Caenorhabditis elegans: one gene and its partners. Each later gene encodes a partner of the first gene's protein in a complex. Each region holds a gene or a part of one and is shown in the gene's direction. Other genes may lie near its edges.

The links.
Region 2: csn-3 (region 1) and csn-6 share a complex: the UniProt entries of both Caenorhabditis elegans proteins name them as parts of the CSN complex.
Region 3: csn-3 (region 1) and csn-5 share a complex: the UniProt entries of both Caenorhabditis elegans proteins name them as parts of the CSN complex.
Region 4: csn-3 (region 1) and cif-1 share a complex: the UniProt entries of both Caenorhabditis elegans proteins name them as parts of the CSN complex.

What each region holds. Positions count from the first base shown.
Region 1 is NC_003282.8:192,971-197,746, forward strand, and holds the start of csn-3 (COP9 signalosome complex subunit 3), read left to right. Parts: upstream 1-1,771; 5' UTR 1,772-1,807; coding exon 1,808-1,814; intron 1,815-1,870; coding exon 1,871-1,996; intron 1,997-3,869; coding exon 3,870-4,139; intron 4,140-4,776. Other genes in the region: intk-1 (INTaKe), read left to right, coding at 1-346, 924-1,094. UniProt on the Caenorhabditis elegans protein: Component of the COP9 signalosome complex (CSN), a complex involved in various cellular and developmental processes.
Region 2 is NC_003282.8:13,298,852-13,304,251, forward strand, and holds csn-6 (COP9 signalosome complex subunit 6), read left to right. Parts: upstream 1-1,972; 5' UTR 1,973-1,978; coding exon 1,979-2,240; intron 2,241-2,292; coding exon 2,293-2,693; intron 2,694-3,705; coding exon 3,706-4,047; intron 4,048-4,085; coding exon 4,086-4,215; intron 4,216-4,518; coding exon 4,519-4,679; 3' UTR 4,680-4,850; downstream 4,851-5,400. Other genes in the region: micu-1 (Calcium uptake protein 1 homolog, mitochondrial), read left to right, coding at 1-30, 76-319, 369-1,162; kdp-1 (KASH (Klarsicht/ANC-1/Syne Homology) Domain Protein), read left to right, coding at 1,337-1,774; Y67H2A.7 (Peptidase M3A/M3B catalytic domain-containing protein), read left to right, coding at 4,901-4,996, 5,043-5,132, 5,188-5,274. UniProt on the Caenorhabditis elegans protein: Component of the COP9 signalosome complex (CSN), a complex involved in various cellular and developmental processes.
Region 3 is NC_003282.8:5,647,537-5,651,602, forward strand, and holds csn-5 (COP9 signalosome complex subunit 5), read left to right. Parts: upstream 1-1,996; 5' UTR 1,997-1,999; coding exon 2,000-2,065; intron 2,066-2,115; coding exon 2,116-2,369; intron 2,370-2,417; coding exon 2,418-2,800; intron 2,801-3,046; coding exon 3,047-3,450; 3' UTR 3,451-3,543; downstream 3,544-4,066. UniProt on the Caenorhabditis elegans protein: Probable protease subunit of the COP9 signalosome complex (CSN), a complex involved in various cellular and developmental processes.
Region 4 is NC_003282.8:4,706,319-4,712,688, reverse strand, and holds cif-1 (COP9/Signalosome and eIF3 complex-shared subunit 1), read left to right. Parts: upstream 1-1,933; 5' UTR 1,934-2,209; intron 2,210-2,295; coding exon 2,296-2,407; intron 2,408-2,906; coding exon 2,907-3,367; intron 3,368-4,101; coding exon 4,102-4,431; intron 4,432-5,361; coding exon 5,362-5,547; intron 5,548-5,599; coding exon 5,600-5,683; 3' UTR 5,684-5,835; downstream 5,836-6,370. Other genes in the region: yars-2 (Tyrosine--tRNA ligase), read left to right, coding at 193-248, 296-397, 449-621, 670-806, 856-1,524, 1,575-1,781. UniProt on the Caenorhabditis elegans protein: Component of the eukaryotic translation initiation factor 3 (eIF-3) complex, which is involved in protein synthesis of a specialized repertoire of mRNAs and, together with other initiation factors, stimulates binding of mRNA and methionyl-tRNAi to the 40S ribosome.

The sequences.
Region 1 (4,776 bases):
ATGGTTTGAATCGAGAACTCTGGACGAGAAAGTGCTCGGACACGAAGGAGACGCAGATATGTACGAATGGGATCCAAATACAATGACAGAGACTCTTGTTCGGGAGCCTCCATCGCCTCTGGAGCCCAGTAGTATGATATTCGAGGAGAAAGGAATGCTGAAACTACTGGAAGATTTTCGAAATGGTGAGCTCCGATGGCTAGATGCTCCACAGATTTCTGCGTTGGGAAAAGTGAAAGAAGCGCATGAAGATGTGTCGAATATTCATTTACAAGTTTATGAAATTGAGTCGGCTAGGAGGAAAAAGAGAAAACAAGCGAGGAGTGTCAAGGAGAATTTTGAATTTGTAAGGAAAAATTCGGATTTCCATAAAAAAGGGATTAATTTGTGCAATTTTACGAAGAAATCGGGATTTTTGGAATGTAAAAAGCTCAATGTGATCTAGAAAATGTGTTTTTGGCAGGATTTTCCTTTTTTTTTAAATCCGATTTTCAGTCTATTTTCTAGCTAAACGACTCCGAAGATCTCTCAAAAAACTAACAAAAAATGCGACAGACGCCAGTTTTTTAATCTGAAAAAAAGCAGAAAGTCCCAAAAAACGGTCCCAGGAATCACAAAATATCTGTTTTGTGATATTTAGCGCTGCAAAAAATAAAAAAAACTCGCTGAATGCAATATTCCAATAGCTTTTTACCTTTAAAAAACTCAAATTTTCATTAAAATCATCAAAATTCTGAGAGCCTCACCCATAAATCCTTAGCCTCACCCAAAAATCATGAGAGCCTCAACCAAAAATCCTGGGCCTCAATCAAAATTCCGGAGAGCCTCACCCAAAAATCCAGAAAGCCTCAACCAAAAATCCAGAGAGCCTCAACTAAAAATCCAAAAATACTAGAATATACTAAAATTCCCCATATTTTCAGTCGGATTCGGATGATTCAGAAGAAGAACGAGAAATCGAACGATTATTCGAATCGATGAATACTCATATGATTGACATGCATTCTGCACTCGATACCGTACCATTTTACGACGCTTCTCAAAATCAACGCACTGAAAAAATCGATAACGACGAGGAGTATTTTTCGTCTTGAATCGATCATGTTTCCTGAATTTTTCACGCATTTTCTAATTTGAAAATTCTATAATTTTGACCCAAATTTCTTCGTTTCCAGCTAATATTTGCATTTTTTTAGGGCATTTCTCACAGTTTTTCTCGAAAAATCCCCGTATTGTCGATTTTTTTTTCGAAATTTTTCCGAGCAGGAAAATATTGTGAATTTCACCTGTTTTGAGGCACCACGGATTCAAGATCAGCTGGGATTTTGGATCTAAAATTTCCGAAATTGGCACCGTGCCAACGAATAAAACGCTATTTTTCTCGAAGAAAAGCGTGACAACGATGCTCCGATGTTACGCGTCGCGTGTTGTTTAGCGTATTTTCTATAAGTAATTTTCAAAAAAACAGCGTTTTATGCCTGACACGGTGCTTTTTCGGTGATATTTGAACTGAAATACCCTAAAATTTTCGTGATTCCCTCTATTTTCTAGCAAAGTTTTCTCTTTTCCCCAAATTTTACCCATTTTTCACTAATTTCTCGGTATTTTCCTGTACAAGCTCGATTTTTACTCAATTTCTATATTTTTCTCGGTTTCTTCTCTAAATTTTCTCACCAATCGCCATTCCCTGTGCAATTTTCTCTTATTTTTTCGTATATCTTCTCTTACTCGTTTCTTGTCACACATTTTCACGATAAAATGTAAATATTTTCAGATATCACAGGAAAATCCCATTCACAAAAGGATCATGACAAGTAAGTTTATTATTTAACCTGTAAATTTTCTAAAAAAATCGGAAAAGCTTTTTCAGCTTTTTTCAATAAGCTCTTCACGGGAGCCTCATCATCATCGTCTGCAGCAGCTTCTTCTGGAATGGATCTTGGTAGTATGGAGTCATTGTGTGCTGCGATCAATGAGCTTTGCAGTGAAAAACATGGTAATTTGGAGGGTTTTGTTGGAAAAAGAAGAAAATTAGTGATTTTCTCAATTTTTCAACTTGAAAATGTATTTATTCGCTGAAATTTTCGGGAAATTTGAATGATTTCATTCAAAAACCCATCGAAATTCTCGTAGAAGTTCGTGAAAAATTGATGAATATCATCTGAAAAGGGATCGAATTCCGAAAAAAAAGAGCCAAATTTTGCTGACATCTGAAATTTTTTCTTTGTCCCCAGTTTTCTTTGTCGCAGCCACTGGAATTTTACTTTTCTGAAATTATCACTCTTTAATCTAAGTTTTATTAGTTTATCTTGTGTAAATTCATTGATTGAGACAATTTTAAACCGTGAGGCATCCAATTTTTATCATTTTTGGATGTCTCTTCGCTTAAAAATTGTCTCAATCAATGAATTTACACAAGATAAATTACCAAAATGTGAATTAAAAGTGATAATTTCAGAAAAGTTGAATTACAGTCTCTGCGACAAAGAAAACTGGGCAAAATTTCTGATTTTTGCACTAATATGCCTTTTTTAATTTTGACCTCAACCAAAAAATCATGGTAGCCTCAACCAAAAATCATGGTAGCCTCAACCAAAATTCCGGAGAGCCTCACCCAAAAATCCAGAAAGCCTCAACCAAAAATCCTTAGCCTCAACCAAAAATCCTGAGCCTCAACCAAAAAATCATGGTAGCCTCAACCAAAAATCCTGAACCTCAACCAAAAATCCTGAACCTCAATCAAAAATCCTGAGCCTCAACCAAAAATCATGGTAGCCTCAACCAAAAATCCTGAGCCTCAATCAAAAATCCTTAGCCTCAACCAAAAATCCTTAGCCTCAACCAAAAATCATGGTAGCCTCAACGAAATATCCTGAGCCTCAACCAAAAATCCTGAGCCTCAACCAAAAATTCTTAGCCTCAACCAAAAATCATGGTAGCCTCAACCAAAAATCCTGAGCCTCAATCAAAAATCCTGAGCCTCAATCAAAAATCATGGTAGCCTCAACCAAAAATCCTGAGCCTCAATCAAAAATCCTTAGCCTCAACCAAAAATCATGGTAGCCTCAACGAAATATCCTGAGCCTCAACCAAAAATCCTGAGAGCCTCAACCAAAAATCCTGGTAGCCTCAACCAAAAATCCTGAGCCTCAACCAAAAATTCTTAGCCTCAACCAAAAATCATGGTAGCCTCAACCAAAAATCCTGAGTCTCAACCAAAAATCCTGAGAGTCTCAACCAAAAATCATGGTAGCCTCAACGAAATATCCTGAGCCTCAACCAAAAATCCTGAGAGCCTCAACCAAAAATCCTGAGCCTCAATCAAAAATCCTGAGCCTCAACCAAAAATCATGGTAGCCTCAACCAAAAATCCTGAGCCTCAATCAAAAATCCTTAGCCTCAACCAAAAATCCTGGTAGCCTCAACCAAAAATCCTGAGCCTCAATCAAAAATCCTGAGCCTCAATCAAAAATCATGGTAGCCTCAACCAAAAATCCTGAGCCTCAATCAAAAATCCTTAGCCTCAACCAAAAATCCTGGTAGCCTCAACCAAAAATCCTGAGCCTCAATCAAAAATCCTTAGCCTCAACCAAAAATCATGGTAGCCTCAACGAAATATCCTGATCCTCACCCAAAAATCCTAAGCCTCAACCAAAAATCCATACAAAATTGTTGAAAATTTTTTGTTTCATTATTAAATTCGGTGGTTTTGGACCAGTTGTAGTCTATTTAAGCAGAATACCCACAAACTGTAATCCCGCTTTAAAATAAATTTATTAAAAAATTTGTTTTATTTAAAAAAAAATTCAATTTAAGGATACCGTCAAGCCTATTTTTTCCAGAATTCCGCATTAATTTCCCGTATTTAGTTTCAGAGAATGTTGGTGAACTGGCCGCTGGAATTGTTCGTAAGAATAAAGAGCTTTTCGAAAAGAAATCGAACGATGTTGAAGCATTTTTGCTTCATTGTAGTCCAAATGTTGGTTCAGCTGCAATGGTTGCTGCAATTAAAGGAATGTTTGATACGTCGGCTGCAAAAAATAATGAAACTGGAACAGATCGAGCTGTTGAGCTTCTCAATCATTATGTTGATGAGAATAATTTTGTTGGAGGACATTTGAAGCTTGTACCTGAAATTAGTGAGTTTCTAGATAAAATTGAGAAGAAAAACTGGAAAATATGGATGATTTACATGGAATTTATGCGAAAAATCTAGATTTAAAGAGAAAAATGCAGCTTCACTTCGCCGAATTTTCCGTTTTTTTTTAAAGCAGAAAGTCAAAGACGTCGGATTTCAAAGGAAAATAAAAATAAAAACTTGAATTTAGAGAAAAGCTAGGCAAAAATAGAAAACTTAACTGAAAATTTCTCCTTCTTCCTATAATTCTTCCTAAATTTTATTTTTTTTTTCTCAATTTCCCTCAAAAATCTATAAATTTCAGACTGAAAATTAAAAAACTAAGAACTTCCTAATTTTTCGTCCTCAAAAAAATTCGAAAATCCGAATTTTTCCACAGAAAAAAGTTGTCTGAAAATGCATTCTTTAGTGAAAAAATGACAAATTTTAACGATTTTCTTGTAAAAAGTCACTTTTCCATAGATTTTTTTTTCACTTTTTGAATGGAGCAATTGAAAAATCTTTCAAGAAAAATTGAAAAATATTGGCAAATAAGCTCGAATTTAAAGAAAAACTAGGCAAAAATTGAAAATTTAACTGAAAATTTGATTTTTTTTTAACTTTTAAAATGTAATTTTTTCCAATTTCCCTCTAAAAAA
Region 2 (5,400 bases), about 13 Mb from region 1:
AAGATTTTCAGATACTTTGCGACCCTGAAAGTGAGTCACTTTGACAAAAATCTATTTATTAGTTGTATTTTTCAGATCATCGATCCTAACGAAGACAGTGGACGCTTTGAAGTTTTCATGACTCCTGAGGATTTTCTCCGTTCTTTCACTCCGGGTGTGATGCAGCCGAGACGTTGGGGGCTTGATAGTTTTAAAAACTATAATCCTGAGAAGCATAAACGTCACAAGTTCTCCGACCCTGACAGTATTTTTTACAAGCTCGGCGAGAACGGTCTCATAAACTTCAGTGATTATCTGTTTCTCATGACTCTGCTCTCAAGTGAGTTTTAATACTCGTTTTTCTTTCAAAATATCATTGACTTTTCCAGCCTCTCACGCGGATTTCGCTCTCGCATTCAAAATCTTCGATGTAGATGGGAACGGTGCGCTGGATAAAGAAGAATTCACAAAAGTTCAACAGCTTATTATGTCCCAAACAACTGTAGGACAGCGTCATCGAGATCATATAACGCCAAACCAGTCGTTCCGTGTCGAGACAAACTCCGCTCTCGAAACATATTTCTTTGGAAAAGACGGAAAGGGGAGCTTGTCGTCTGAAAAATTTATCGAGTTTCAAGAGCGTCTACAACACGACATTTTAAAGATGGAATTTGAACGGAGAGATGCACTGGATAACCCGGATGGACTTATCAACGAAGATAGTTTTGCTCAACTTCTCCTTCTTCATGCTCAAATTAATGAGAAGAAACAGAAGCATATGTTGAAGCGGGTTAAACGAAGATTTAAAGGAGAAAATTTGAAAGGAATCAGTTTTGGAGAGACGAAAGCATTTTTCGAGTTTTTGTATCACATTGACGATGTAGATATTGCTCTACACTTTCATAAAATGGCTGGAATGTCGATAGATGCGAAGCTACTTCAACGAGTTGCGGTCAAAGTGACTGGAATACCTCTATCGGATCACGTTGTGGATGTGGTGATTACTTTGTTCGATGACAATTTGGATGGAAAATTATCACATGAAGAAATGGTTGCTGTGATGAGGAGAAGAATGCGTAGAGGTTTAGAGCGACCAAGAGATACTGGACTTTTCCGTTTGTTTGATGCAGTTCTGGAATGTGGAAAACGAGCTTATCACGCCAGTCCTCTTCCATTTTATTAGTGGTGCCCATGGCCACTGTAAATACTTGTTTATAAATAAAGCTTTTCATTCTTTTTAACAAATTATATTTGTTATGTTCATAAAAAGTGTTCGTTTCACTTTTCTTATCTTAATTTCATTTTTTTATTCTTTATTTCTTTCTCCACATTTTAAAACACATTTTTCAGGAAAATCATGTCGTTGGCTTTGAGAAAGACTTTGGGCGTCGCTCGCTTTTCCATGAGAACCGCCAGCTTCCAGGCTGTTCCAACCAACGCCGGAAAGACCCCACCAACCCTCGAACAATTCGATCCACTGAACCCAGGAGAGTGGCAACTCGGAGCCGGAGGAAAGATCCTTCCACGTCTGCCAGAGGGAACCAAATGCGGAAACCTTGTCATGGGAAAGTACGGACTCTACGATCCAATCCTCAAGAAAAGAGTTGATACCTACGCCAATGCTCTTCTCGAAGGAAAGAAGTCCGAAGAGGCTGGACCATTCGATGTCGCTGTCAGCAAGATCGCCAAGGTCCTTTCCTACATCTGCTTTGTCATCGCCATCTACAACCTCATCTCGTTGGTCAACGGAACTCCACTTCCACCACTTAGCCACGTCAAGGCTCCAGGATCCTAAATAATTTCCACTCGATTGCATTATCTCTTTTTTGTAGGAAGTTTTATGTTCTGTAAAACTTATGTCAATGTGAATCAATAAAATTCCCGTTTAGCTTGTTTTTCCACCAGTGAATCCAGGAATATTTTCAAAATTTCCAAATCATTATCTGGCTTGAAACAAAAAAACCGATTTCGAAACCAAATTTCGAAATAATTTTCAGAAATGGCATTGAACGCACCAAGCGGGAGCTGTAGCTCGAAGGTGCTTTTGCATCCTTTGGTTATTATGCAAATGTCCGAACACTACTCCAGAACAAAGGTCCAACAGGGTCCTACTGTGAAAAAAGTGTTCGGAGCAATTCTCGGACGGCAGAATGGACGACAAGTCGAGGCGATCAATTCATTTGTTCTGAAAATGGAGACAGAAGAAATGGCTGAGCCGGTTACTTTTAGCACGGAGCATCTCCTTCAAAGAGCAGATCAATGTCAGTTTTACTCTGTTCTTGCTCATTTTAGTTTTTTTTCCCCAAATTTCAGATCTGGAAGTGTTTCCCGAGCTCCAAGTTATCGGTCTTTATTGTGCTGGGGAGGATGATAATCTGACTCCCGAAGAGAAACCTCTTCTCTCAAAACTCACCAATGCGGTTCGCAATTCAGAGAAAGCCGGACAAATCGACGCGACACTTTTCCTTAAACTCAACTCTATCACTGCTGGAACCACTCGTAAACTTCCACTTTTCGCGTTTGAAGCAGACGTGACTGATCAGGAGAAGCATAAGCCAATTGAATGGATTTTAGTGTCGGAAGAAAGTGAACGTGTCGGTGTTAATCATATCGCTAAGTTATCAACGAAACATGGAAAAGACGGGAAATCAGTTGGAAAGAAACACGCGGAGGCTCAAGATGCAGCAATGAGCATGCTTCAGAATCGGGTTGATGTGCGTTCGAGAAATTGGAGGCCAGAAAAAGACAAAATTTCATAATGAGACTTCTGAAAATGCTGTTTAGCGGTTCAAAAATTTTAAAATAATACCTAAAATTCGCTAAAATGCATATTTCGATCTTATCTCGCATTAATTCGTTGATTTAAGACACATTTTCAGTCGATTGACACCTAATTTTGGAAAAAATGTTTGAAAAAAGTACCTCCATTTACTAGTAATTGCGAGCTAAACGACTAAAATATGTAACAACAGCTGCTGCGACATGAAAAGTTTGCGAAATTTCAGAATTTAGACAGTTTTGGCTCTTATTTTTTTTTGAAATTTTGACATACTTAAAAAGTTTATTAATATTATTTTGAGAAATCTCGTTATGAAAATCAATACAGCAGCAAACTAAAGTGGAATAGTCGAAATAGTTTTACTGCTTTATTAGACTCACAATTGACTGAAAACACCGAATTTCATAATGAAACTTCTTGAAAACGTCTCAAAAAAAAGTTATGACGGCTCAAAAAATAGCCTAAATGTAGTTAAAATTTGAAATTTGACCGACTTGTCAAGCGGCTGGAAACTAATTTTTTGAAATCTCCATCTAATTTTGAGTATAAAATTTAAATATCTTGCGTTTTCAACTTCATTTATGTATTTTAAAGCCGATGGACGGCGATATTTTTAATTTTTTTTTTACGAAATCTCGCCGTCCATCGACTTTAAAGTACCCAAATCGAGTTAAAAACGCAAGATAATGACATTGTATGCTCAAAATTTGACGGTGCTTTCAAAAAAAAAAATTGTTTCCAGCCGCTGCAACATTGCAAGACGGTCAAATTTCAAATTTTAACTAATTTTAGGCCATTTTTTGAGCCGTCATAACTTTTTATTGAGAAATTTTCAAGAAGTTTCATTATGAAATTCGGTGTTTTCAGACAATTTTGAGTCTAATAAAGCAATAAAACAATTTCGACTACTCCGCCTTTAATTTTTTTTACAAAAAAATAATTTTCAGCTAATCGTTGCCTATCTCGAAAAAGTGCAAGACGGAACACTTCAACCGAATTTTGAAATTTTGAAGGAAGCTAACTTGCTTGCTCAAAAGCTCAAAACCATTGATCGATATGCTGCTGAGTTCACTGATAGTTTCGAAAAGGAAGAGAAAACAATGACCGTATTCTCTCTGATGCCAAGATTGACAACTCTTCTCGGAAATATGCAAAATGTGTGGAACAAGTTGTCAGCTCAAAGAGCCGATCTTCTCGCCGACGATGGATTCCATGGAAAATCGACAAGCCGTTGGGCTCATCCGGTTCGATTCAAATCACAACATCTCGGTCGTCCGCAGCAGGCAGATGTAAGTTAATGCATTTAGAATATTTCTAAATCCTTTAGGAATGTTTGTTCCAGGATGACGATTATTTTGATGATGAAGATTTGGAGAACGATATGAGTGGACCACGGAGAAAAATTCATGCTGCTGATTCTCCAGCTGGATCGAGAAGACGACGTGTTCCGCCAAGAGGTAGATTTGGAAATTCTGAATTATTATGAAGACGCAGAAAAATTCACCTTCTTGGGGAAATTTTTTGAAAGCGGATTTTTCAGAAGTTTTGACATCAGATACGAGGTTTAACATTTTTTATCAACTATTAAAATTTAATTAAAAAGCACAAAAAAAAAAGACAAAAAATACCTGAAGGAAAATTCTAAATTTACGATTTAGCCGATTCAATTGGTCGTGGAACGATTTTTTTTTCAAAAATAAGCATTTTTGTGCGTCCTCATTTCAAAATCTTCTGGAAAACATTAAAAATGTTGATTTCAGCAATGAACTTCCTCGGTCGGAATTCTGGTATGCAAGCCGCCACGGACGAAATGGAATTGTCAGGTCAAGAGGAAAATATGGGAAGCAACTATATTCCAGACGTTCCAAGACCATCTGCAACAGCACACAACGAGTCGGACGAGTCGAGTCAAGCTTCATAAATATCCTTTTTTTGTTAAAAATTCACTGTAAAAATGCCACTTTTTCTTATTTATTTCATTGTTTCTCAAATTTTTACACCACTTTACGTGTTTTTCATCCCCATTTATCTGAAATATAATGTCTGATCTCCGATTCTCGATATTAAAAAAAGGTTAAACGTTCCTTATATCAATAGAATCCAGTTTAGTTTAGACTATAGTGATTTTTTCTACAGCACTAAATGCTTCGAAGTGTGATATTACGGCATAGTCGAACGATAAGCCGGAATAGCTGGGTGGCTAGAGCATTTCGAAGCGAGAAGGTCGACAAAGAAACGGTTTTTTTTTTCAAGAAAATGGATTTTTTTAAATTTAAAACTTCAGGGATTATTTGGAAATAAAAACTTGAAAACCGCAGAAAGTTTCAATGAATTACCGGCGGCAGTTAAAAAATCAACTGATGCTCTTATTCAGGTATTTAGGAGAGCTCTGAAATCCAATTGAAATCCTGTAAAATTCAAATTTTCAGGAGCTTCTAACCCCATCGCAGAATCCCAGAACTTCTATTCAAATTGTCGATGATATTTCGAATGAGATTTGCAAATCGGCGGATCTTGTAAGCTTCGCTTCGAAAAAAGTTCCCAAATTCAGAAGAACCACAAAAAAAAACGCGATTTTTGAGGCACCACGTTTTCAATATCTAGTCGGAAACAATGTCTACGAAAGCAAGATCTACAGTTTG
Region 3 (4,066 bases), 5.5 Mb from region 1:
AATTGTAATAGGTGTACTGAATTGAAATATATCCACAGCTCCAGTTACAGTAAGATCTGTTATGTTGTGTTGTGGAAGAGATTCTATGAATAAAATTCGAATTTCTGCAAAATTGGTATCTTGAAAAAAGAGCATTGCAATTAATTGTATAAATGATGGAATGTAGATGAGAAATATGAGAACTTGAAGAATACATCGGGAGATCTCTTGATGTTTCATCACATAAAAACGGTATGCAAAAGATAGAAAAATGAGACAAAGAGCATGAGTGTGGAAATGTAGAAGGGCTCCGAATCTGGAAAAAGTTTTTTTGGAGATTTAAAAAATTGGAGTATTCTGTCATTGAAACCTATGCAAGAAAAAAGTTTGATTCAGGCGCATAAGAGAGCCTATAAGTGGGTGGAGACTGTTTTTTTAAACTATCTTTGTTGGGGAAACCTTTTTTTTATTAATTTCGATGGATTTAATTTGCTAAAATATGTGGAAAAATATATACTATAATGGAAAAATATTTCAAACTGCTTTTAGTTAAATTTTTCAAAAACTTTTTGGAACTAATTTTTAATTGATGTCCTAGGCTTCAGCAATCGTAATTTTGGATGTTTACCAAAAATAAATTTTTCTTTGAGTTTTCGAAATTATTAATTAATTTTATAAATTCTAAAATTTCAAACCTGCAGAGATCCATGAAATTTCTCAAAAAGGGAAAAGTTTCGCAAAAAAAATTTGGCAATTTGCCGAAACTCTGACTGAAATTTTTAAACACTCTATACATTTCTTAAGTGTATGTTTAGATTTTAATTTTTTTCATCGATTTAAAGGATTTTTAAAAATTCCTTTTGACAATGATCCATTTTTATTGTTTTTCTATAGTTCAAGACTTAATTTTTTTTAAATTTAGCCCTCTCCCATTTAAAAAATTTTTCATCTTACTAAACCCGTCCAAACCTCGTTTAAATAATGTTAAGATAAATATAAAAATAGGGCAGTAACAATTTGATCTACCTACATATAATTGTTTTTCAAATTTCTTCTGTTTCAAAAACTTCTTGAAACGGGAACATTTTTCCATTGACATTCATTTTTTTTTCCACGTCAAACTCACATATCAAAACAAAACTGTTCTCCTAAATTTGAGCAAATTCCATAGGAAATATAAAATAATTGTTTCCCAGCTGGAATAACTCGTTGTCCAATCAGAAATCCACTAAGACATGCTCCAAAATTAGTGAATGCCATGTTAATAATGACAATTGAGAATGTTCTTATAATAGACGGACTATGAAATATTGCCACGTGGAGGAGGAATAAATTAACACAATATCCTGAAACAGTCACCAACGAGTTGATAATCAGGAAAATTGCGGATAACATTTTTTCTGCGAAATGTTTTCTTGCTCAGCTTGTGGCTTTTATAAAACTTTTTGCTTGCAGTAGCAAGTATTCATGAATATTCTTCTGGAAGATTTAAGGGTCATTGATGAGGTTCAGTATTTTGTAGTATACATTCTAGACTACACCAGATTGATGATATGTTTCTGGAATTGAGCAAAAACCTTTGAACTGGAATGCCAACTTCTCTAAAAGGGATCCACAATGCAACAAGCTGGATAACCAGTCTTTAGGACATTTAAAACTTAAATATCTTATTCCGCCATAATCATTTTTAATACATTTCTCCTATTTATTTGTTCTTCTATGAAATCAAGTCTTCCAATTGTAGTACATCCGCTTGGTGTCGGTTTACGGTAAACAACGCGCACCAACGGAAAGTTGGAGTGTCGTTGTTAGAATAACAACAGATATTTTCTCATTTCAAATTTCAGATTTTTTTTAGTTTTTGTTGGTTTCAATCGATTTAAAAAAATTATAATCTGAGAATTACTTAATTTGTTTCAATTCTTCATGTAAAATCATCTCATTATCATTTTTCATGCCCTTATCGTCTTATTGATTGTATTTCTTAATAATATTAGCAAGGTAATGCTTTTTTCAGACGATGGAAGTTGATAACGTCAAGCCATCCAGCTCAGTTCCGCAGAGAAACTGGGAAAAAGAAAATAACGTCAGTTTTTCTTAAATATTTTTAGATTTTTAATATTATTTGTGTTTCAGGTCCAAAATGTCGATTCGATTTTCGAGTACAACAACAAGCAGCAAGTAGAAATCAGAAATGCAAAACCATGGGATAAAGATCCACATTATTTCAAACAAATCAAAATATCTGCAATTGCTCTTCTGAAAATGACAATGCACGCGAAAAGAGGTGGAAATCTGGAAATTATGGGACTTTTGCAAGGTCGAATCGATGCTAATTCTTTCATTATTCTTGATGTATTCGCTCTTCCAGTTGAGGGTACTGAGACCAGGTGAAATGATTTACGCTGGGAGTAATTTCGAACATTTTAAATTTCCAGAGTCAATGCCCAAGCTCAAGCCTACGAGTACATGACAGTTTATTCTGAAATGTGCGATACGGAAGGTCGAAAGGAGAAAGTCGTCGGATGGTATCATTCTCATCCTGGATATGGATGCTGGCTATCCGGAATCGACGTCTCAACGCAGACACTCAATCAAAAGTTCCAAGAGCCATGGGTTGCTATTGTTATTGATCCATTGAGAACTATGTCTGCCGGAAAGGTTGACATTGGCGCATTCCGTACATATCCAGAAGGATACCGTCCACCAGATGATGTTCCATCAGAGTATCAGTCGATTCCTCTCGCAAAGATTGAGGATTTCGGTGTACATTGCAAACGATACTACTCGCTTGACGTCAGCTTCTTCAAATCACAACTTGGTAGGTGAAATTTATATTTATCGGGAATGAATTACATAATAAAAATACGATAAAGGACAATCAACTGTAAAATCCAATATTCAAAGCTTTGTTTTTTGGATTGTTTAAACTTATTGGAATCGAATAGCTTGAAATTTTAAACTTTTAAAATAAGAATAATAATATTAAACATCTCAACGGGAAATTGGTCTCAATTGAAAAAGAAACATCTCCGATTCTTTCCCGTTTTAATAATTAAAATTCCAGACGCTCACATCTTGACTTCTCTGTGGAACAGCTATTGGATTTCCACTCTCAGCAGTTCTCCACTCTTCTCAAACGTCGAATTCCTCAACAATCAAATTCAAGACATCAATCAGAAGCTGTCGGCCGTCGATAAGAAGCTCCAATTGAATGACAGAAGTGTCGATGGACATGAAGCTTTGATGAAAGTCGTGACCGATGCAAAGGCAGTCGGAGATGAACTTGAAACTGGAAGAATCTCTCATCTCGTGAAACAACTATTGTTTGCTCGCCAAGCTGGTGGTGGCTGTGGATGTTCCCATGCTTCTGCAGGATCTCCAATGGATATCGCCGTGGCAACTGAACCCGAGAAGGCTGGTCCTTCTCCATCTGCTCCGGAGCCCGCTGTTGAGATGGCCGATGCTTAATTCTCGTTTTGTCTATATTTATAAATCAAGTCCCCCTGTTTTCTGTGTTAAATTCACCAACATCATTTTATTTGAATGAAATTTTTGCTTTTCAATGATTGATTTTTTCAAATTTATTTCCATAAATGAGAGATTCAAACGATATATGGACATATATGAAAATGTACAAGAGTAACTGGGAAGGGGAAGTCTGGGGATGGAGGAGGGATACAAGTTCCAAAAATACAAGAAAAAGAATAGATCTGAGAAATTTGAGAAAAATTGAAAATGACAAAAAAGAAGAGGAAATTGATACGATATTACGAGAGATTTGAGGATATAATAGAAATAACTGTAAAGATCATATTTTTCAGGTGTATGGGGGTGAACAGGATGGGGGGGTCGTGTGGTGCACGTATTCTTTCGTCACGAGACCCGTTTCTATCTATTTGTATGATGATTCGGAGATGTAGTCTGAGCTCCGGGCTCAAATGAAAAACTAGGATACTAATGAGAGGCGACAAGGGGATGGGGATCAGATAATAAATTATCAAACTGGGTATGATGAAGAGATGATAAAACTGTTGCAAGATAGGGGTTGCTCACTTTGTGGGGATTGAAGTGGGTGAGGTATTTC
Region 4 (6,370 bases), 4.5 Mb from region 1:
TAAATGAGCATTAATGAAAAATGGTGAAAATGCAAAATGGCCGAGTTTTCGTGGCCGGGTGGCCGAGGATTTTCTCCGACCACCGCGCGGAGTTTTGTGGAAACTGCGGTCCCTAAAAACGGGATTTTAATCATTTTCTTTTACTAAAATATCATTTCTATTATATTTTTATGCAGCTACCGCTAGTACACAATGTTCAACAGCAAACGAATCGGAAATGTGGCCTTAAAAACGGTACGTGCACCTCGGTGAGTCAATTGCTAGTGGGTTATTCTAATTTTTCGTTTTTTTTCAGAGAAAGCTCATTCGTGGATTACATCACCGACTTAAACGCGAGAAAACAGCTGCAACACTCGTATCCAACGGACCTGCTGTCTAAATGTAGCGAAGATTTGAGGTTGAACTTGTGAATGTTACGAAATTCCGCAAATAATCCATTTAATTTCAGGCAGCTTCCACCTTATGTGTATGCTGGTTTCGATCCAACTGCTGAGAGCCTTCACATTGGAAATCTTCTGATTCTCGTCAATTTAATTCGTGCACAGCAGTTTGGAATACGTCCAATTGCATTGATCGGAGAATTCACTGCCAGTATTGGAGATCCGAGCGGAAAGAAATCAGGTTTTTACCTAGAAAAGCGCTGAAAACTCAATAAATCATGACCTTCAGAACGGGGTCTTCTGGCCGGCGATGTAATTATGCACAACTCGAGGAAAGTAACAGATCAGATCTGCAAGATTTTTGAGAACGCGCCGGGATCAAGCGAGAAGCCGATCATCGTGAACAATAATGATTGGCTAGGAAAGGTAGTCATTCGGCTTGCTATGATGAGAAAGAAAATGTTATATTTTTCAGATTAGTCTACGAGATTTCCTGAGAGAATGCAAGAATATGCAAGTCGGAAAGATGCTTCGAATGAATACGATAAAGAATCGGCTGGAAGTTGGATTATCGTACACTGAATTCAGCTATCAAACAATGCAAGCATTCGACTGGTACACGTTATCCGAAAAGTATGGATGTCGATTCCAGCTTGGTGGATATGATCAATTGGGTCACCTGGACTTTGGAGCTCACTATATTAAGAAAATGATGAATCAAGCCTTCGCTGCAGGAGTATGCTTCCCGATTCTGACGGATTCTACTGGTGCCAAGCTCGGAAAGTCTGAAGGAGGAGGTGCGCTGTGGCTTGATGCGACGAAGACGTCTCCGTTCCATTTCTATCAGTTCTTCGCGCAGCTTCACGATGACAAAGCGGAAGAGCTTCTGTTACTTTTCAGTTTGCAAGATATCGAACATATAAGAGATGTTCTGAAGAATCATAGGAGCAATCTTGGACAATGGATTGCTCAGAGGGAGTTGGCCGCCGAAATTACTCGAATTGTGCACGGAAAAGAAGGTTTAGAAGTGGCGATGCGGTGTACAAAAGCAATGTTTGGAGCCAAGAAGGCTGATTTATCGGGATTGTCGAGAAGTGAAGTATTGCAATTATTCAGAACAACAATTGACTTGAAAAAGGAGAATGTAAGCATCAAAAAATTAGTTGTCGAAGATTTTATTCTTTTTCTTCCCAGGTAGCAACAATGGGCCAACTCGCGGACGCATCTCGACTAGGCAGTGGGAAAGGTCATCTTTTGATGCAACAAGGAGCATTTTCAGTGAATGGAGAGAAGAAAAGATCTCCATCGGAATCAATAGCAGACGTTTTCCTGGAAAATGCCTCCGATCTCACCCTTGTTTGTTGGGGAAAACGAGGTTACCAGCTGGTTCGATGGGTTTGAATAGGTTCAGTTTTAGTTGTTATAATGAAAATAAATATTCATTTTTTTGTTGTATTTGTGGTGTCATATTCTCGGCGTTCTCTACGCTTTATTATATCTCTTTTTCTCGTTTCCAAGCATATTTTTTGTATTTTATTCCTGAATAATTTTCGGCTCGTCTCTATTCGCATGAGCGGAGGAGTAGTGCACAGCAAACTTCAAAAGCTCGTTCTCTCCACCTACCGTGATTTTTTGCGCGCCTCCCGTGGCCGTGACCCGAGCATTCGCACGCATATTCGGCACGAGTTCCGCGCCGCTGCAACACGTTTCGAGCCAAGTGACCTGTTGCTCATTGAGCATCATTTGAGAAGAAGCCAGAGACAGCTGGAAGCGATTCGGAAAGGACACATTGAGAAGATCGCAACGGTTGATAGCGCCGCGAAATAAAGGTGAATGAGTTGAAGTTTGATGTGCATTTCTCCTTTTTGCTCGTTCACAGTTCCATATTTTCTAAACTGCATGTACAATATTTCAGATGGCTGACACTCGTGAGCTTCCAGTTTTCGCCTACATTGATGATGTCAAGCAGCTCCAAGAGCTCCGTCAATACCTCAACAAGCACGATAGTGTGAAGCTTGATCCAAATGGTGCGGAAAACTTGTAAAGCTGATTTTTTCGATATAATAATTATGGATTAATCCAATCTTTTTGGATCTTTATCATTTTCAGGTCGATCGACTCTTTTTCAACATTTCTGTATCAATTTCTTTCTCAAAAAATTGAATATATCATGTGGAAACGGCAATTCTACAAAATTTTCCTATCGCACCATGTTGTTCCCACTTTTTTTAAAATTTAAATTGTTCTAAAAATATATAAAATCAATTGATTTGGCCTTAAATAGTATTTATTTTAGTTTAAGCATTTGAAAATTGCTTACAAATTGCCATTTCTCAACTAAAATCAACGATATTTTCAGATAAACAAAGTGATTTTCTATGTTTTCACATTATTTTTAATGAAAAATGTTAGAACAACATGATGCAATAGATCATTTTGTAGAATTTCTCCCATGGAAATACGTAAACTTTCAGAAAAGATTTGCGGTACAGCCCTGCTTCAGAATTTGGATTTAAAAAATTTCAGGACCATCAGAGACCGCCCAAAACATGATCGAAATCTGCTCCACTCTCAACGTGCTTCCTTCATGGTCCCAGGACGTCGATCTGGTGCTCAACTCGATATCATCTCTTATCGTCGTTGTGCCAGGCGAGAAGTGTGAGCCAGTCGTCGACTCATTCATCAAGAATGTTGCTCCACAATTCTACAAGGGAACCGGATGGGCTAGTCACGCCGGAATCGCCGTTCGTGTGCTCTCGAATTTGTACAAGGGATACTCGAACTTCCATACTGTACAGGAGAAGATCTTCAAGGCGCTCGTTGATATGTGCGCTGAAGCAAGACTCATTGGAGAGCTGGAATGCAATCTTGAGACTCTTCAAGATAGATTCAACACATGGAAGACGCCAGTCGAGGGACAACGCGAGATCTTGAGAGCAGTTCATCGTGCACTTCTTGTTGATCAGAGAGTTGATCAGGCTGCCAAGGTGGGTTTGATAAAGAACTATCGGTTTTTATACTTAGCTAGACACAAAAACTGCCTTTAAAAAAATTATGGCGGTTAAATATTGCTTAATTTCTGCTAAAGTCTTCAATTTTGCAAACTGTCCCGTCTCGCGGCTTGAACACAGTTTTTATTGAATCTTGGTCTCTTATCTCACACTGTTTTGTTGTTTGCGGTACATTTGAGGGTGATGTCACCAAAATGTTCAAAATTTGGCCAAAAACCCCAAAAGTGGACAAAAATGCCAAAATTTCGCCAAAGAATGAACAAAATTCGATCAAAATTGAACCAAAATGGCCAAATTCCACTAAAAATTGAGCTAAAATGACTAAATTGAACGAAAAGCGCGAAAAGTAAACCAAAAATGACAAAATTTCTACTGAAAATGGCCTGTAAAGTTGGCCAAAAAGTGGACCGACTTTTGTCTAAAACAACAAAGATTGGACCAAAATTGAACCTTTTCTTCATAATTTGAAGTTTCCATAATTTAACAAAAAATTACCGAAAACCACCGAAATAAGTTTATTTCTGACCGTTGGGACACGAGAAGTTGGCAAATCAGAGATTTTAGCTGAAATTAGCGAAATTTTTCGAGAGAGATTTAAATCGCCGTAGAAATTTGAGAAATTTTTCAAATCACGAAATTTTTTTTTGAGTCAATACAAGCTAAAACGCCAAAATCATAAGTCCTCATAACCTTTAAAAAAGTGTTTCCAGGTTATGACTGCACTTCTCGGAACATACACAGAAAAGGACGCTGCCGCAGCACGAGATGATGCTATGGAATGTGTTAGAACTGCTGTCGTCGATCCGAAATCATTCTCCTTTGATCATCTCGAACGACTCAGTGCAGTCAAAGCGTTGAAGACTTCCGATCCACTGATGTTCACAGCTCTCGAGTTGTTCATCTCTGGAACTCTCAAGGATTATAAGGAATTTGTTGCCAAGAATCCGAAATTTGTCACCGAGCACTTGAAGGTTGACGAGACTATTCTTCTCAAGAAGATCCGTCTTTTGACACTCATGTCGCTTGCTGAAGAGAAGAACGTACGTTTGGATATTACTGGGTCTCGCCACGCTCACAACGAGTTACTGTAACTCGTTTCGAAAATCTTGGCAGCAATTTTATTGAAATTTATGATTCAAGGGAAAAGTTTTAGTGTCAAAATAACACATTTTTATCGTTTTTCGACTGCAAAATTACAGATTTTAAGACTAAATAACGGCTTTGGCGAATGATATTACATAGACGATTAAAGAGGAGAAAATGGGTCTCGCCACGCTCACAACGAGTTACTGTAGCTCGAATTACGAACTGCTTATATGTTTTTTTTTTATTTTCGCAGAAATTTTTCATTTACCTTCCAATCAAAATTCAAGAGCACTTCTAAGCTGAAAACCTGAAATGTAAAGCTAAAAATTATAAATTGCAAACTTTTCGGATGAGAAACATCCATTAATGTGGATTTCCAGGTTAAAAACATGCAATTTTCGTAAAAATTTTAGTGTAAAAATACAAAAAACCAAAATTTCACACTTTTTTACTGCAAATTTGCAGATTCTAAGACTAAAAAACGACTTTTTCCGAATGAAAACCCGGCCAAAAATGAGGATTTTTAGGTTAAAAACCTGTCATAATCTCTTAAAATTACAATAACTCGTCTCTAGGAAATCTCCCGAAAAACCTATAATTTTGTGGAAAATGTTGAATATTCCATTTCTGTAAAGAGCGAAATCTCGAATTTTAACAATTTTTCAGTTAGAGAAAGCTCAAAATTATTTGAACACCTTTGAATGCGAAAATGTTGAATTTTCGTTGAAAAATTGGATTTTTAGCGCGCCGAGACCCATATTGCAAAAATGTGAAGTTACGATACAGTAACTCGTTGTTTGCGTGGCGAGACCCATATGGAAACGTCGGTTGGCTATATAACATTTGAAACGTCCGAATTAAATAAAAATTGCTGAATTTTTCAGGAAATCAGTCTCGACGAATTGGCCAAACAATTGGACATTCTTGCCGATGAGACCCTCGAAGAATTTGTGATCGACGCGATTCAGGTGAACGCGATTTCCGGAAAAATCAATGAAATGGCCCGAACTCTCATCGTCAGCTCCTACCAGCACAGAAGATTCGGAACGGAACAATGGGTTCTACTCGAGGTATATAATATTTACTCGTTGGGTTTCCATTTAAAAATTGATTTTTTTCCAGAAACGCCTGAAAGTCCTCATCGCAAATCTGAAGCAAACGCACAACAACGTCCATGAAGTGAATCAGAGAATCGAGGCTCTCTAATTGTTTTTTTTTCGCTGTTCTTTTTAATATATTTGTTTTTGGTTCTCCCTATCGTATTTTCTTCCCATGAAAGTCCCCCGTTTTGTTGGTTCCCTCCTCTATAATTTCTATCTCTCTCTTGAAAAATTTCCCCATAAACTGTTGATTTAAAAAAAGAAAATGTTCCCCACTCTTCTGACTTAATATGGATTTTGTTCACTTCGAAACCCGATTATTTCTATTTATCCGTCGCTTTATCTTGTTTTTTTGTTATGCGATAAGCACACGGGCGTCTCACTTTACACTGATGCTCGTGGAGCCGGAGGGACAAGAGATTAGTCTCTTCCGCTTCGATGATAATCAGATGTTTGTCACTTGACGGACGAAGCCAATCTTTGTTCTTAATTTTCAGAGTTCGGAGAAACTAGCCTTTTTTTGAAGAAAAGTCCAAAAATTCTGCTAATGAAAACGGGAATTTTAGTTAATTTTCCTTTTTCTCAAATTCTTTTTGAAATTAAATTTAAAAAATTCGAGTCATATTTAAAAAAAAACCATGCCTTCTCTATTTTGCACATTTTAGAAGTTACTGCCGCATTTTTTTTCCAGATTTTGGTACATTTTCAGTCGATAGGTGCACAAAAATTGGAAATTCGTGCGCCTATAGACTGTAATTGTACCAAAATATGCGAAAAAAATGATCTACAAAAT